Linked DNA regions of Oreochromis niloticus. The protein of the gene in region 1 purifies or fractionates together with the protein of each later gene. This does not show direct contact. Links are inferred from orthologs where the notes say so. Each region holds a gene or a part of one and is shown on either strand. Other genes may lie near its edges.

Region 1 (8,090 bases):
GAAAAAGGAAGAAGAAAAAACAAAACCCCCCCCAAATAAAATGTTGCCGTATGTGTTCGATTTTTCTAAGTGTCTTTTATAGAAGTACATGACGTTCCCAGTCACTAATGCATGTATTTAATGTTTAATTATGTAAATTGAAAGAAAAAATAAAAAAAGACATTTCCTACTAATTTCTTGGATGGAACTCAGCCATCTGGTGAAAAGCTTGACAAGACAGCCAGCAGTAGAAATTAGTGAAAAAGTTCAGTAATTCCTCGTCTCATATGCAAATTTAATAGAATTTATATTTAGCTCAGTGTTTCCTAATCCGACTTTCTCTCTCCCTCTAGGCCTCCCCCCTCCTGCTGTGATAAGAAGTCTTTTCAAGACTCTCTGCTCAAATCTCTTTTTCAGGGAAAACAGCACCCATTCCCCTGACAGAACCGTCAACTCGTCCGCCAAAGCTGACTGCAAAGTAAAACTAAATGATAAAAAAAACAAAATAAAAAAAAAACCTCAAACAAAAACAACCCCCCCAACCCCCAAAAGTAAACTACAAAATTTGGCATGTTGCATGTTATTGCCCCTAATTTCCATCCACCTATATCACAAAGCAAAGCAGACCTTGCCCATAAAAGCAATTTACTGTGATGAGGAAGACTTGACCACAGGTTTATATTACTAGTCCATAAAAGAAACCTTTACAGCTTTCATCTCTTATTGTGACTTCTCAAAAGTCACATTGATGATGTCTATTTACAATAATTGTCTCTTTGTTGGCGTTTTCTCTACCATTAGAGGGCTCTAACCTTACAATATAAAGTGCCTTAAAGCAACTGTTGTTGTGATTTGGTGCAACAGAAGTAAATTTAATTGAATAATTCATGATTTTAAAAATAGCAGAAACATTTAAGCATAAAGGTTATGCCATCAAATGTAATTACCAAGCATATAATCACATGATAGTGGTGAACTTTGGATATTGAGCTACATCCCAAACTACCTGATGTGTTAGATTTTGTTTCCTTCTATAATAGCCCACTACTGCCTAGATTTAACTTTAATGGCACTTTTACTCAACAGTGCCAGTAATGGATAAAAACAAAACCTTAGGGCAAGAATACGCCTTCCAAAGTTTCATAATTATGAGCAAAACAGACAAATTTGAACATTTAATGCTCAAATACTTGTCACTTACCTTGAGGACATCTCCACGCTTGAAACTAAGCTCATCATCAGCAGTAGCTTTGAAATCGTATTTGGCAATGGCCTCCATGGTCCTTATAGCGTGCTGTAAAACTGCTTATCTGCAGCCGTTTCAGTGACTGAAGAGGGGGAAAAAAAACTAAAAACACGTATCCAGGCTTCTGTGATCAAATGCTTTCTCTGCGTCTCTCCTCCCGTCAATGACCCGTTCCCTTAGGTTTGAGACCTCACATAAAGGTGGCAGAAAGGTACCTGCAAAACAAACAAACCAAAAAACCTAACGTGAAAAACTAAAACTGTAGACAGGCAAATGTTAAACCAAGAAGCAAAATTAAAATTGTCTGTTTTGCATTTTTAGTCTTTAAATTTTCACTAAAAATGCATACTGGCCATACGATTCAACTTTATCCCCTTTGACCTCTGAACAGCCTCTAAAATACAGCACAATTTCATGACCAGTGGCAAACCTCTAACCAGAAATTATCAGAGGATAAGGGAACAAAGTTCACTCCATCGAGTGTCAATTTCAACAGCCCATCCAGACAGCCAACCACCTGGCCCGATCAAAGATAAGACGGTGGTTACTTAAGCAGAGATGACAGTGATACGCTGGCTAAACCTACCTACGGCTATTTAGTTAAACAGATAAAGTTACGCTATCCAATTAAGTTGCTGCTAATATGCTACCGTACAGCCCTGATGGGCTTTCGCTAATACAACCGTGCGTCTAATAAGGCCTTTAAACCTGACAGCCCACCAGATGACCACAGAGAAACACCAAACGGATGAAAAATCCTTTTTTCCTCTTTTGAAAATCTGCATTTCCTTTTCATTTCTGAGAACCTAATTGTTAGGCAATAACAAACGACACACGACATATTTTTCTAGAGAAAACGAATTGCCGTCACCGACTCGTCAAGTCCAAAACGTTACTACATTCGCTTTCGTTTGTGTCTTTTTACAATAACAAAACGCCAAACAACTCATTTGCCAGTCAGCGTTACTGAAAACAAAAGAACAAAAGGGCTCGTCGCTGTCAGAGGTGGCATTAGGCTTAGTATTAAAAAGGGAAGCTTGAAGTCCAAAGGCAGATATAAACTGTAGCTAACCTTAAACATGACAACCTTCTCACACGCACATATTAGTGTGAAAATTATGTGGAATTTTTTCATTTCAAAAAGGGCATGAAGAGCAACAGAGCATGGTTTTATACAGCTTTTTGCTTTTTTTTTAGTCGGGCTCGAGTGAATCGATTCCGTTCCAGCCAACAGACTGCGCCCACTGTTCTAGAACGCTACAGCTAGCATGCCGGCTAACGGTCGGACAACAATAACTGCGATGCAGTATGGTTATCAAACCCGAACCTCAATTCTTCCACACCGGACCATCTGACATCGACATCAATTAAAGCTGGTGGCTGGTCTGAAATAAGTGTGGGGTGTTTCTTAGCACCCGAGGCCTAGTTGCTAGTTTCACGCTAGCAAATGTGAAAAGGAAGAAAACAGCTTTTTTTTTTTTTTTTTTTTTTTTTTTTTTTAAACATAGCGCAAGCTGTTATTGCTACTGCTAGCCCAGCTAACGTTACTGAACTTCACTAAAACAGCGTTAGCAAATAAAACAGTACACAACTTTTGTGCCGACACAACGAGTACTGAAAACTCACCACTTTAGATATTCCGTTTCGATAGTGCCACTGTATAAAAAACCAGCAAAACTCTGTCGTGTAATTATCCACTCCCTGCTTCCTCTAGAGGCAACCAGCAAGGTACGTGTGGTGTCGCTTACACCCGTCCTAGAAGCCTAAAAAACTAGCCACTAGCATAAGGTTTATGACGCTCATTTCCGCTTCCTTCCAAAGAACTGGGAGGATCTGCCTCCGTGTAAGTAAGCTCCTCCCTGCTAGTCTTTTTCAGTGTTAAGGAAAATTACTTTTCACAGAGACATATTAGTTGTTAAGATTCACTCACTCTAAATCGTTCAGTTTCTTTTTTTAATCAACAGCTAAATACCATCTATTTATACCACGTGACTAAGGCACTGAGATCAATTTAGCCAAGATAACTTTTAAATAATCTGGCTTAACTAAACCTAACGTCAGCAATTACACCATCTGATCACGTGAAAACGGCACTCTGAAAGGTTATCCAAGAGGCAGTGACACCACAGCATGGTCAGAACCAAACTGCTTTCATAATCCTCAAAAGAAGAACAAACTATAACATGGAGAGAAAAAGAGGAAATAAAATATGTAATCCGAGCTGAAAGAAAGAAACTCAGCTGCAACCAAAGGAAGGAAAGCTGGCAAAAGATGACAACTGTGCAAGCCAGTACTATCACTAACATCACTACCTGTGAACAGATCAGACTTAATGGATTTAGCCGCTGCTACTGAAAGAAAAGCTATAGGAAATGTGAGTAAACTTGTCCACAAGTAATCCATCTGACTACCTGATAGCCAGGCTGCAGTTTGTGAGATTAGGCAGGGCTTTGTCTGATTTGGTGAAGGTATAGTAGCTCTACAGGAGAGTCTGCTGTCCCCATTTCTGTGTAGTTTGTACACAGACGTTCAGTACAACTGCAGGTCATGGCACTTATAGAAATAATCTGATGACAATAATCTGATTCTGGTTGGGTGTATTAGTGATGGGCAGGCGGAAGAGGAGTATAGAGTACTATAGGATGATATGAAGTGGTAGTAAGTGGTAATAAGACCAGACAGGTGATCGACTTCAGAAAGAAGAGGATGGTTACATGAATGTTGATGTGGTGGAGGACTAAAAGTACCTGGGCATCCACATTGACAACAGACTAAATAGGAAGATGAAACAAAGAAGCCGTATAAAAGAAGAGGATGAGATGGCTCTTTCCCGAAGAAGCTGAAATCCTTCAGTGTATGCAGCAAAAACGATGACCACCTTCTCTAACACTGATTCAGCTCCACTGCCACATGCTATCACAATATATCTGACAGAGAGGCACCTGCCAGATAATATTATCACCATCATTAATATATTATTATTCATCATTTCAGTTGTGTAACAAAAGAATACTCCCAAAATCGGATAAAGATTTATCATCATCATCATCATGTCGTGTGCACAATATGTTTATCCGTATTCTTTCAGCTAAAATCCTGTGGTGTCTAATGGTCGTGAGATGCCAAAAAAAATCATAATTGTGGTGAATAGAAGGCATATAAGGTCAACGAGCCTGCAATACTTTAGGACTCTCATGTAGAGTTGAAATGGCTATAAAGGGCTTGGAGGAAGCAAAAAAATAAAACAAGTGATAAAGTCCCTTATTATTGATCCTAATGGAAAGCTAGAAATTTGAGACCATCTCATTGACAACTCATTGATCTGTGGGCTCTTCTGGGAATAACTACAGTGTTTTCAGAGAGACCTGATTGGTCAGTAGGCTTTGGATTTGTAAGTGTTGATCTGTTATCTTGAAAATAACCTGCTCCAATGAGTGAATAACCTTTATGGCCCTGAAAACTTGTGATGTTGTCTCATTTAGGCCCCGATCCTTTTCTAAAGCACAGGTCTTGAGTCTCTCTTTCAGTCACAGGCAAGCTGCAGGATGGCTATGCATTAATTCATTCACAGACTCTTATTGAGTTTTTCAGCTGTGTGTCCTGACTTAACTTTGTAGGTTGGTCATCTTCTAGTTTACTTTAAACCCCCTAACCGAATGTCAACACCATAGCTGACAAGACAAAAGGACCGCCAAATATGTAAAGGGAGAGAAGTGAACATGACCAGTTCATTGTAAACTAAACATTTACCAACGCCACACCCTAGTTCATTCCCTTGTCTGCAGTCGGCCACAAAACTGTCACCCATATCTATCATTATCCTACAAACTACAATTAACTACTATGACTGTTAACTATAGTCACATACATAACACATTTCTCACTTAGATGCATTTATGTCCATCTGATTTAGTCTGAAATGGGAAATGAAGGACACAGATTCATCCATTTTAGCCGCAGTGTAATTAATTAGACAAAACACAGTTGGACTATTCTACTACTATAGAATAGAACAGAATAGAATAGAATAGCCCTTTATTGTCATTGTCCATGTACAACGAAATTGTGGGTGCTCCAAACCAACTGTGCCCCAATAGCTAAAAGGAGAAATATATACACTCAATATTTATATATACAAAAACAAGAGAAAGGGACACATTAGAGAACGCAGGAATGCAACTTTCTCAATATTATGTTCAAGGATCCATATGGCTTCTCATAAAGGCCATCTCATAAAGCTTTACTTAGCTAACTGCTGGAATATTTGGTCTTCTGTTTTCCTGTTTTCATTTCTTGCACATCTGCTTTTAATCCTGGCCTGTGACAGCAGGCTTTGACAATGCTGCCACCTAGTGGGACTAAACAAAAATCGGTTCTTTCTGTCTTTAACCACGTAAGGGTTGCTACCAGAAATACTTAGTCACATGTTAATACCGCACAGTTGAGATAAGAAATGCGCGTATCTTTTCCAAATATTACACAGCAAACAATATGGAGAGTGACACTGTTCAGTTAGACAATTAATTAGACTGTTTATAACTGATAACCTATCGTGTGACCTCCATCATAACGGCATTGTGAATGATAAAGCTATGTGGTCGGACGGCTAACGCTTTTTAAAAGAAAATAAGGTGGAATGAAGCGAGGAAATCGCCCATTAGGTATTCACTCAAGAATGACTTCCAGTATTACTCACACTGGCGGCGGAGAGTATAGCTCACAGCTGTTCAGTGGGTGACGACACAAAATTAGAAATAAGAATGATGATTTTTGAGCGTCTCCGAGTTGCGGAGTACTTTATCTCGCTGTTGCCAAATATCAGACTCAGAGCTGAAGCGAGCGCGCGCATTTTATTTGTCGCGTGCCCTGCTGAAGTGTCTTGGACAACAAAAACATGCGCGCGCGGCTGAACCTCTGCTATCAAAGCCATAAAGCAACAGTGTAAGCTGTATTTTTGTATGTATATGTATATTTAAAATATGCATTTTTTCTCAAGCTCATCTGTCTTCTTTGCCTTAAACTGATATATAAGTTATTTTAGAGTATATTCGTATTATTCTTCGAGGTTGGATGGAGGACTACATTATGAATTCATCTTCTTCATACCTCAGCTCACCTGACAATCTGGAAAAAGGTAGGATTTTCTTCTTCTCGTTTTTCTGTTGAATTGGGCACATGCATGCAGATTTATCATCATAGATTGAATATTATGTTGTTCATTTTCATGTAAAAAGTAGTTATTGAGACTTTGAAAACAAATGAATGAAAAAAAAGTTATAAGGAAAGAAAGCTGATGGAGAACATTATGTTTTTTCCCTTCTACCAGATCATGAGCAGTACAACAATGTGCTCATGCCCAGCATCTTTGGTGTTATTTGTTTCTTTGGGATCACTGGGAACTGCATTCTCATTTACACCATTGTGAAAAAGACCAAGTTCTGCTGTCATCCATCAGTGCCAGACATATTTATCTTCAGCTTGTCCATCGCAGACCTCCTCTTTCTCCTTGGCATGCCTTTTCTCATTCACCAGCTCGTGGGCAATGGCTCCTGGTGCTTCGGTGGCACCATGTGCACCGTCATCACGGCGCTTGATTCCAACAGCCAGATCGTCAGCACGTACATCCTGACTGTCATGACACTGGACCGCTACTTGGCAACAGTCCACCCCATCCGCTTCAAACACGTTCGAACCCCCTTCGTGGCAGGGGCGGCAGTGGCGCTGGTGTGGGTGTTTTCTCTGGTCTCCATCACTCCTGTCTGGATGTACACTGGACTCATGCGTCTCAAGGACGGCTCGGTCGGCTGCGCCCTCCTGCTCCCAAACCCGGCCACAGATACATACTGGTTCACCCTGTACCAGTTCTTCTTGGGCTTTGCTCTCCCTTTAGTGGTCATCTGCAGTGTCTTCTTCAAGATTCTCCAAAATATGTCAGCCACAGTTGCTCCACTACCCCAGCGCAGCCTCAGGGTGCGTACAAGAAAGGTGACCCGCATGGCAGTGGCCATTTGCCTGGCCTTCTTCTTATGCTGGGCACCTTATTATATCCTCCAGTTGGCCCATCTCGGAGTACAGCGGCCCAGCTTTGCTTTCCTGTATGTCTACAACATTGCCATCAGCCTGGGCTATGCCAATAGTTGCATCAACCCTTTCATCTACATTGTGTTGAGCGAAACTTTCAAGAGGCAGTTCATTGTAGCTATTCGGCCACCCCACAGAGGCTTCAGAGTCGCCCCTGCTCAGGCTGAAGGCTTGAGTTTGAGGGTGGCGCCAGAGAGCTCTCATCCATCCCGCTCGCAGTCGTCGCGGGAACTGCTCCAAAACATGCTGCCCGTCACCGTGGCTGTGCACTGAGATTGACAGCTATCTGGCCACCCGTGACCAGTGCTAACTACCACCCCCAGCAACGAGCCATCTGCCAGTACAGACGTCTCTCTTTTTTCCCTCCCTCCTCGGAAAGCACCCACTGTTTACATCAACACATCACAAGAGAAGGAATTTCTATCCCACACACACTGCGTTAATGCGCCAAGTGGTGATATTACCGGTGAAGTTTGGAGACGTGTTTATGTTTGTTGTGAGGAATAAATGTATCGACTGTAGTCGCCATATTTTTAAAGAATGAGAATGAAAAAAGGAACAATAGGCAACTTGCAGCTGACATGTGCCATTTTTTAAAAATCTCACTTTGTGTAAACTGTGCTTGATTTATCAGTATGGCATCTCTGTAAAGGTTTGATGTAAGGCCAACTTCATCACACAGCTGTGTTATACTTAATGTGTCTTAAATTACTACGTCGTGGTAGCAGAAAAGTGCAGATTTGTCACTGTTTTGTGTTGTGCACTGTAAGTTTATCAATGTTGT
Region 2 (7,301 bases), on another chromosome or scaffold:
CCGCGTTAATGCAGTTAACGTTAACATCATTTTAACGATATATATATCTATATATATATATAGTTACTAATGATAAAGAAGAAAACACACAACAAAATAGCTGCAAGGCCCTTAGCTATGTTCAATAAAGCAAAGATTCTCTTTCTGTTTTTATACACTGGCGGGGTGTGGTTTGCGGCTCTGCTGCATAAGAGGGGTGGTGCAGTGGGTTGAGGGGGGAGCACCATAGAGGCTGGCAGGGCAGGTAGGCTGGCACTGATTGAGTAACTTAAACAGTACCAGCCGCAAACCACACCTCGCCACAATGTATAAAAACTGTCATGATCCTGGGTCTTTGACCCAGTGTTTTGTGTTTTCTATTGTTGTGATATATTTTGGTTTTTGGTTCTGTTCTTCCTCAGTTTAATGTTTAGTCATTCTGTCTGTATTTTCCTCTGTGTAAAGTCCGGGTTTCTTAGTCTGTGTCTTTGCATGTGTGAGTTCCTGTTTTATTTTGTAGGGCTGCGTCTCTCGTTTTTGTTTCTGGTTTCGCTTCCCCTTGTCTCGTTATGTCCAATTACTCCCAGCCGTGTCTTCCTCCTGTTTCCCATCCCCTGATTGCCATGTGTGTTTTTAAGCCCTGTGTTTTCTGGTGTGCATGGCTGGTTTGTCTGCGTTATTTGGTGTTTTCTGGTCTGTGTATCTCCCTCCGTCATCCTGTGAATTTTCCCTGCAAGTTGCTTTCACTTGTGTTCAGGTTTTGTTGTTTAAGTTTAGTTCTCCCAGTATAGTGTGTTTCTAGTTCTGTTTCTCGCCGCTCTTTTCTTTGTTTGTTATCTCACCGTCACAATAAAGCTCACTCACTTCAGAAGCTACCTGCATCTTGGGTCCTTTAATAATTCACATGGCTTGCCCCGCAAACCGTAACAAAAACAGAAAGAAAGTCTTTGCTGTATTGAACATAGTCATGAATAACTAACAAAAAATGCAATTTCTCTTTCATTTTCTGTTCTCAGTGGCAATAGTATACACTGTTGTAGATTGGGAACCACTTTACATGCTTTACATCTGGCTGATGTTCACTAATACGTTCCTGTTTCTTTGGTCCAGAGCAATGTATATTCAGCTTTAAGAGCCAACAGGAGGCCATAGAGAGAGCAAATAACTCACACACAGTATGGCCTAGTGTCAGCAGGCTTTACAACAAGTGTGGACAAAGCTTTATCAGTGTCTGCAGCACTGGAGACTGGCACTGTCTGGTAAGTCCCTTAAAGTCCCTGTTTATGGTCCTAACAGCAAAGGGATGTTAAAGTTTGTGTAAATGAACATGTAATGTACTGGTTAACTATAATGTTAATCTTTGCTTATTTCTACTCAAACTGAAAACCAAATAATTAAATATTAGTAAATGGTTTATTTATTTGATTTATACCAGTGGTTCTTAACCTGGGTTCGATCGAACCCTACGGGTTCAGTGAGTCGGTCTCAGGGGTTTGGCAGAGCCTCCGCTGTGACATGCACACCTCATTTTGTGCACCAGTAAAAAACATATCTATGTCTTGAATTTGAAAAAAATCATATTTTATTTTTCACTTAAGAGGGGTTCAGTGAATGCGCATATGAAACTGGTGGGGTTCGGTACCTCCAATAAGGTTAAGAACCACTGCTTTATACCATGGATGGACTGTTGCAAAGGTTTGTATCTTTACTGAACACATGAAAGAACTGACAGTCAATAAAATGAGACCCCTCCCCCAGACTCCCTTTAGAGGGTATAAGCCTCAGCTGTTTCATTATTCATATGCTTTAATTATATTTATTGGATCTGTACTTTCTAACTTTTCTCATGTGTTGTCTCTGTCTGCTCAGTGGAGAATATGCTATTGCTGAATACTCTGAGGTGAAAACAGTGATGATCAAAGTGAAAGAAACCATCGGAGAAGAACTGGGAAAATCGAGTGCTCTGCACTTCCTGTCGCATGAGACCACATCACAATTCTCTAACACCCATACTGTTCACTCCAAGTATTCCAAATCTTCAACCCTATTTATAGTTTGGTATGTTTGTAGACTGCCAGTTCACCTTTGAACCTGTAGTTAAGGTTTCTTAGTCAGAAACTCAGTTATTCTCCACGGGAAAAGTACAAGAAACAGATATGATCTTCTGTCATGTGACTACATAGATGTGTCTGTAAACCTTGTCTGTTCTTTTCCTTACAGAAGGTTTTATGAGAGACACAAACAAATAAAACATCCACTCATCCAAAGTCATTTGTTTTTATTTGGGAGACTGGGCAGAAATACCATTCATTTACAGTATTCCTGATGTATGCAAATTGACTTTTTTGTTCTGACCCAATTTAATCTAATATAAATATTTGCTGCTGAGGAAGATGTTCATTTCATTTCAAATATAAAAAAAACAAATGTTTCCAGTACTACACAAGGTAATACTGACCTTGCCATTTACATTTTAGCACTAGTCATAGCAAGAATGTTATCATTGCATAGGTAGCAGCACTTGTTTTCTCATACTTTGTACTTTTGATAGAAATTCAGAATGAACAAAATAAAATACAACTTTTGTGAGCCTTTTATAAGAATGTGATTTCTTTATATCTGAAGAGGCTTTAAGGAAGTTGACCAAATGAACAATAGTGGAGAGATATGAAGGACATTTATGACAGGTCATTAATTCATTTGATTTGTCACATCTTCCAAGGATTGACTGTCCCAGCAAATTAATTCTGAGGTGAGACCATGTGATTAAGACTTATTTGAAAGCGTTTCTTCTCTAAAAAGAATATGGCAGCATGGCTTAGGTTTGCAAAATGCCATCTGATCAAGCCACAAGACTTCTGCAACAATTGTCTTCAGACAGACTAGACCAAAGTAAAGATTTTTTAGCCATAATGCACAGTGCTACATATGGTGAAGCCCAAACACAGCACAAATACCTCACATCAGCTGTCAAATGTAGTGGTGAAAAGGTGATGATTTGTTCTTGTTTTGCAGCCACAGGACCTGGCTCCTTCCATTTATTGAGTCAAGCATGTTATATGGGACCATATGCTTTAAACACATAAAGCATATTAAGGATTGTACATTAACATATTTTATTGTGAAAACTGTTGTCAGAACCATACTGAATTTAACCAGATAAACTTCTCCAGTCCAAACAACATTCCGATGTCACTGCTGTATATCCTGGTGGTGTGGATCAGTGAATGTATGTCTCTGGCTGATGATTGCTCCATTTCCTAGTCGGCAACCAGTCTTGTTAATGATCTCACTGAGGGGGTTCGGGCCCATGCAGAACAGCAGTGGACACAGAGCATCTCCTTGGTAGATCCCGCATTTGGTGCTGACTTTAGCTATTGACTTGAAGCTGGCCTCTGGTGTTGTACATTGAGTTCCCCGTGTATATATATATGTATATATATATACATATATATATATATGTGTGTGTGTTTGTGTGTGTGTGTGTTTTATGTGTGTGTAGAGAGAGAGAGAGAGAGATCGTATGCATAGTATGTAAACGGCTAACAAGCAGCCATTATAATTCGTCATACAATGAGAATAGGAGACAAATCAACAATCAGTGTCTGTCTACTGCTTACTAAGATTGCCAAGTGGCTAACAAACGTAAACAGAAATGTTATCTTGTTCAGGATACATGTCATACATAATACCTGCCATCATCCAATGACATATCTGCTTACCTGTATCTTTTGCTAGTTTCTCCTCCTCCTTTTCTCTCTTTTTTTGTACACTGAGCACCTGATGGCTTTAACCTTTTCTTGTCAATCTTCCATTGGTGTTCATCTTGCACTCCAGTATCAACACCCATCCCCAAACCCGAAAATCACCACAACATAACCTAACAGACCTACACTTTAGTGCAGAGATTCGCACAACCCAGGAAAAAATAATTAATACATAACAGGCTTGGATTGACAACATTATGAATGAAATGTGCTCCATTTGGAAGCACCCCCCCCCCCCCCCCCTTTGGACAGGTTGTGTGATCGACCTGAACAGCACAGCATCAGCAGCAAGCAGGCGCACTGAGGGCCATCGCGCTCACTTTTCGCATATGTGTGTGATAGAATTTAGAAAACACATCGGTGCAAATTATAAATCTATATCATAATGTATTCTGTTTTTGTGGTTGTTGGTTTGTTTTTATTTAGTTTTATTTTGCGAGCTGGTTATTAAATGCCGTACCAGCCAGCCAGAGAATCCCTCGCCCCTCCCTGTGCGGCAAGCAGCAGGCGCACCTCGAAAATGGAAGGCGCCCATGTCGCCCATATCAAAAACCGCCACTGTGTGAGGCCATCTGTCCACGAGACCAAGCTTAGGTTAAAATTGGATCATGCAACAAAACAACGATCCCAAAAAACACTATCAAATCTGCAGAATCCTTGAAAAAGAAAATGTCAATTTCAGACCTCAGCCGGACTAAAATGTTGTGGAACGAGCTGAAGAGACCGGTGTGTGGAAAAATAGCTGGAAACCTGAATGAAGTGATGCAACATTGCGAAGACGTTTGGGCCAAAATTCTTCCTGAACTATTCGAGAGATTGATAAAGTCTCTCACATAGGAATTTAAAGGTGTTTGTGCTAAAAGCGTTTCTACAAGCCTTTACAACGCTTCTGGACCTTATTTTGAAAAACACATCAGGCATCGATATTATTTTGAAAATTAATACCGGAAATCTCTGTGTTAAACAACCTGACTGCTCAAAATTCGTCCGGAGTGGAAAGTTTTTATCGTGGAATCAGGAAGTCCAGTAAAAGATTGTTGTGAGGTAATCCGCGGCTGGTATATACAGCAAAGCTGCAAAACCCTCTCTGTCTCTCACTGGACCTTTCAGGCATGCGGTAAGTTGGATATTAATGCTGTGCCAAGATGTGTTGTGTCTCATGGTAAGCAGAAACCAGTAACTCAGTTGTCGTGATTTGTCTGATTAACTCTTTTTTTTGACGGAGTTACTGTTAAAACAAACAAAACAAACAAAAGTAACAAGGGTGTTTTTCAAAGTCTGACCCATTTTCTGTGACATGTCCCACAAATGAAAGCACCTTGTGTTCCAGCAGTCATTATTGTTATTGTTATTATTATTATTATTGTTATTATTCAGAAGTTGGCAAAGAGTATAAAAATTGCTGTACCACACAGCAGAGACATGCACAGACATTTGCACTGTCGGCGGCTACAGTCACAGTCGTTATACCTCATGTTGGCACTCCAGACTAAAGCTAGAAAATGCAGCATGGAACACATGCAGGGGCCTGTCCTTCCAGCTTTCTGTTGCCTGAGGTATTTACTAAGCACAGTTATAGGCCATCTTCCTGATGCGCACATGGATGTTTGGTATTTCATGCTAGATAGTGGTTATGACTCCCACTAGTCCTCGGTCTCCTCCTTTCTGTTTACTGTATAGTCTCAAGGTGCTGGACTTGGGGTGAAACTCTGTAAGGAGCTTCCTTGTCAGTGCTTCCTATGGCCAACAGGGTATCTGACTACGGGTGTAGGCGTAGATTGCCCAGATCTTGTCCTTCCCAATCATCCGACTTCTCGGGACATTGCCTGACCCTCCGCAGGTATTTGGTGTTTGTCGCTTTCCTAGTAGTCTCTTCATGGTTCCCATTTGCCTGTGCGATTCCAGGTGCTTGTAGCTGTCCTCTGTGACTGCAGTGTTGTCTTCTGGTTGTGCGATCCCTCAGTTTTGACTATTAACAATTGCTGTAGTCGGTAGAGCAGGGCGATATGACCAAAAATATTTATCACGATATACATTTGAAATTTTGCGATAACAATATAACTGACGATATAATTGACACTAGGCAAAATACTTTACAACTCCACAACTTTAATAGTGCAAAAAAAAACCCATCAATGTATTTTCACTTAAACAAGCAGCTGTTTTTTATGTGCATTAAAGCTATATAAAAATTTAACAGTGCAAATGCAAATTCCTCGCTGACAGTTTAACAAAAAGGCATTTCCAGTGGAACTTGGCTGACATATCCTGAGCATAACCATGTATAATATCCACAAAACTTAAAAAGAGGTTATACACACACAATATGGTAATATTATGTTGAAGCACAGTACGTATCACTCGGCGAGGCTCCTGCCTACGATAGCCGTAATGCTCCGACAATCTATCAAGCAGTGCGGGTTTGTAGCTTAGCAAAGTCGTACTAAAACATTTGACAGATTTTTGAGCGCTGTGTATCACATTAAATCGTTTCGAGGTCAGTAAATGCAACCAGAATTCACACATAAGGCACACGGGATTATAAGGGGCACTGTCGATTTTCAGAAAAATCAAAGGATTGATTCTAAGTGTGCCGTATTTTCCAAAAAACACCGTAATAACGACGGCCCGCTAGCATGCTCTACCAAAAATAGTGCTTTGTTGTGTATCTGACAGATGAAAGCTAAACCAGTTCCACATCACTGAAGTTGCAGCATTTTTACAAACCAATTCTGGTTCATCCGTTTCATTCAACGATCCGCTTTCCCCCTTCTCATTCTCCGTCGCTGCCGTGCTTTTTCCGCCATGTGCGTATGAAATCAAAGGCACTTCGCATGCGCGTTTTACCCATATTCTATCGCGATATTTCATTTTCTTATCGTTGCCCAACATTATACCGGTATTACCGTGAACGGTATGATATGGCCCAGCCCTAGTAGTCGGTGTCCATAGCCAGTCTTGTCAGTGCCCTCGGTCAGGGGTCAGGCCTATGCAGGACAGTACTGGTGACAGGACATCTCCTTGGTAAATCCCGCACTTGATGGCGACTTGTGCTGTTGGCTTGAAGTTGGCCTCTAGTGTTGTTCGCGACATCCCCATCCTTTTACTGCTCTGCTCATATAGTGAGCCATATGTCTGTTTATCTTAGGCACTATTATGCCTGATAGGACATTACATGTGGTCCCGAGGCAGGTTATTGGCTGTTAGTTAGATGGAACCGGTCCCTTCTGGGGATCCTTGGGGATCAGAATTGAAACACAGACACAGCAGCTTGGCACCCTCTCTACCTCTGTGCCCCCATCAAACACAAGTGGTTATTGATGATGTGAGTCCTGGTAAGAGTAGTAGGATAATCCTACAGCACCATACTTCTTGCTCATATTTAGCCATATCTTGTAAAATGGATAGGGCAACGCTACAATGTGCAAATAGATGACACTAAAACAAACAGCAGAAGCAACCTAAGAGTTTCTCAAGGTAAAAAAAAAAATTGGATTTTAATCAGTTAGTCATCTAATGTCAACACGATAGAGGCGTGCTTTTCAGGCGTGCCTT

What was found. The genes of interacting proteins can lie anywhere in the genome.
Region 2: the proteins of grb2b (region 1) and lrrk1 purify together in Homo sapiens (affinity purification with mass spectrometry; 4 studies listed by BioGRID and IntAct, with this or other methods). This does not show direct contact. The link is inferred for Oreochromis niloticus from reciprocal best matches to the Homo sapiens genes GRB2 and LRRK1.

The regions. Positions count from the first base shown.
Region 1 is NC_031969.2:8,810,580-8,818,669, reverse strand, and holds the start of grb2b (growth factor receptor-bound protein 2b), read right to left. Parts: upstream 3,024-8,090; 5' UTR 2,852-3,023; intron 1,441-2,851; 5' UTR 1,259-1,440; coding exon 1,181-1,258; intron 1-1,180. Other genes in the region: mchr1b (melanin-concentrating hormone receptor 1), read left to right, coding at 6,296-6,359, 6,552-7,579. UniProt on the Homo sapiens protein: Non-enzymatic adapter protein that plays a pivotal role in precisely regulated signaling cascades from cell surface receptors to cellular responses, including signaling transduction and gene expression.
Region 2 is NC_031965.2:4,655,197-4,662,497, forward strand, and holds the start of lrrk1 (leucine-rich repeat serine/threonine-protein kinase 1), read left to right. Parts: upstream 1-4,297; 5' UTR 4,298-4,863; intron 4,864-5,426; exon of another isoform or gene 5,427-5,496; 5' UTR 5,497-5,586; intron 5,587-7,301.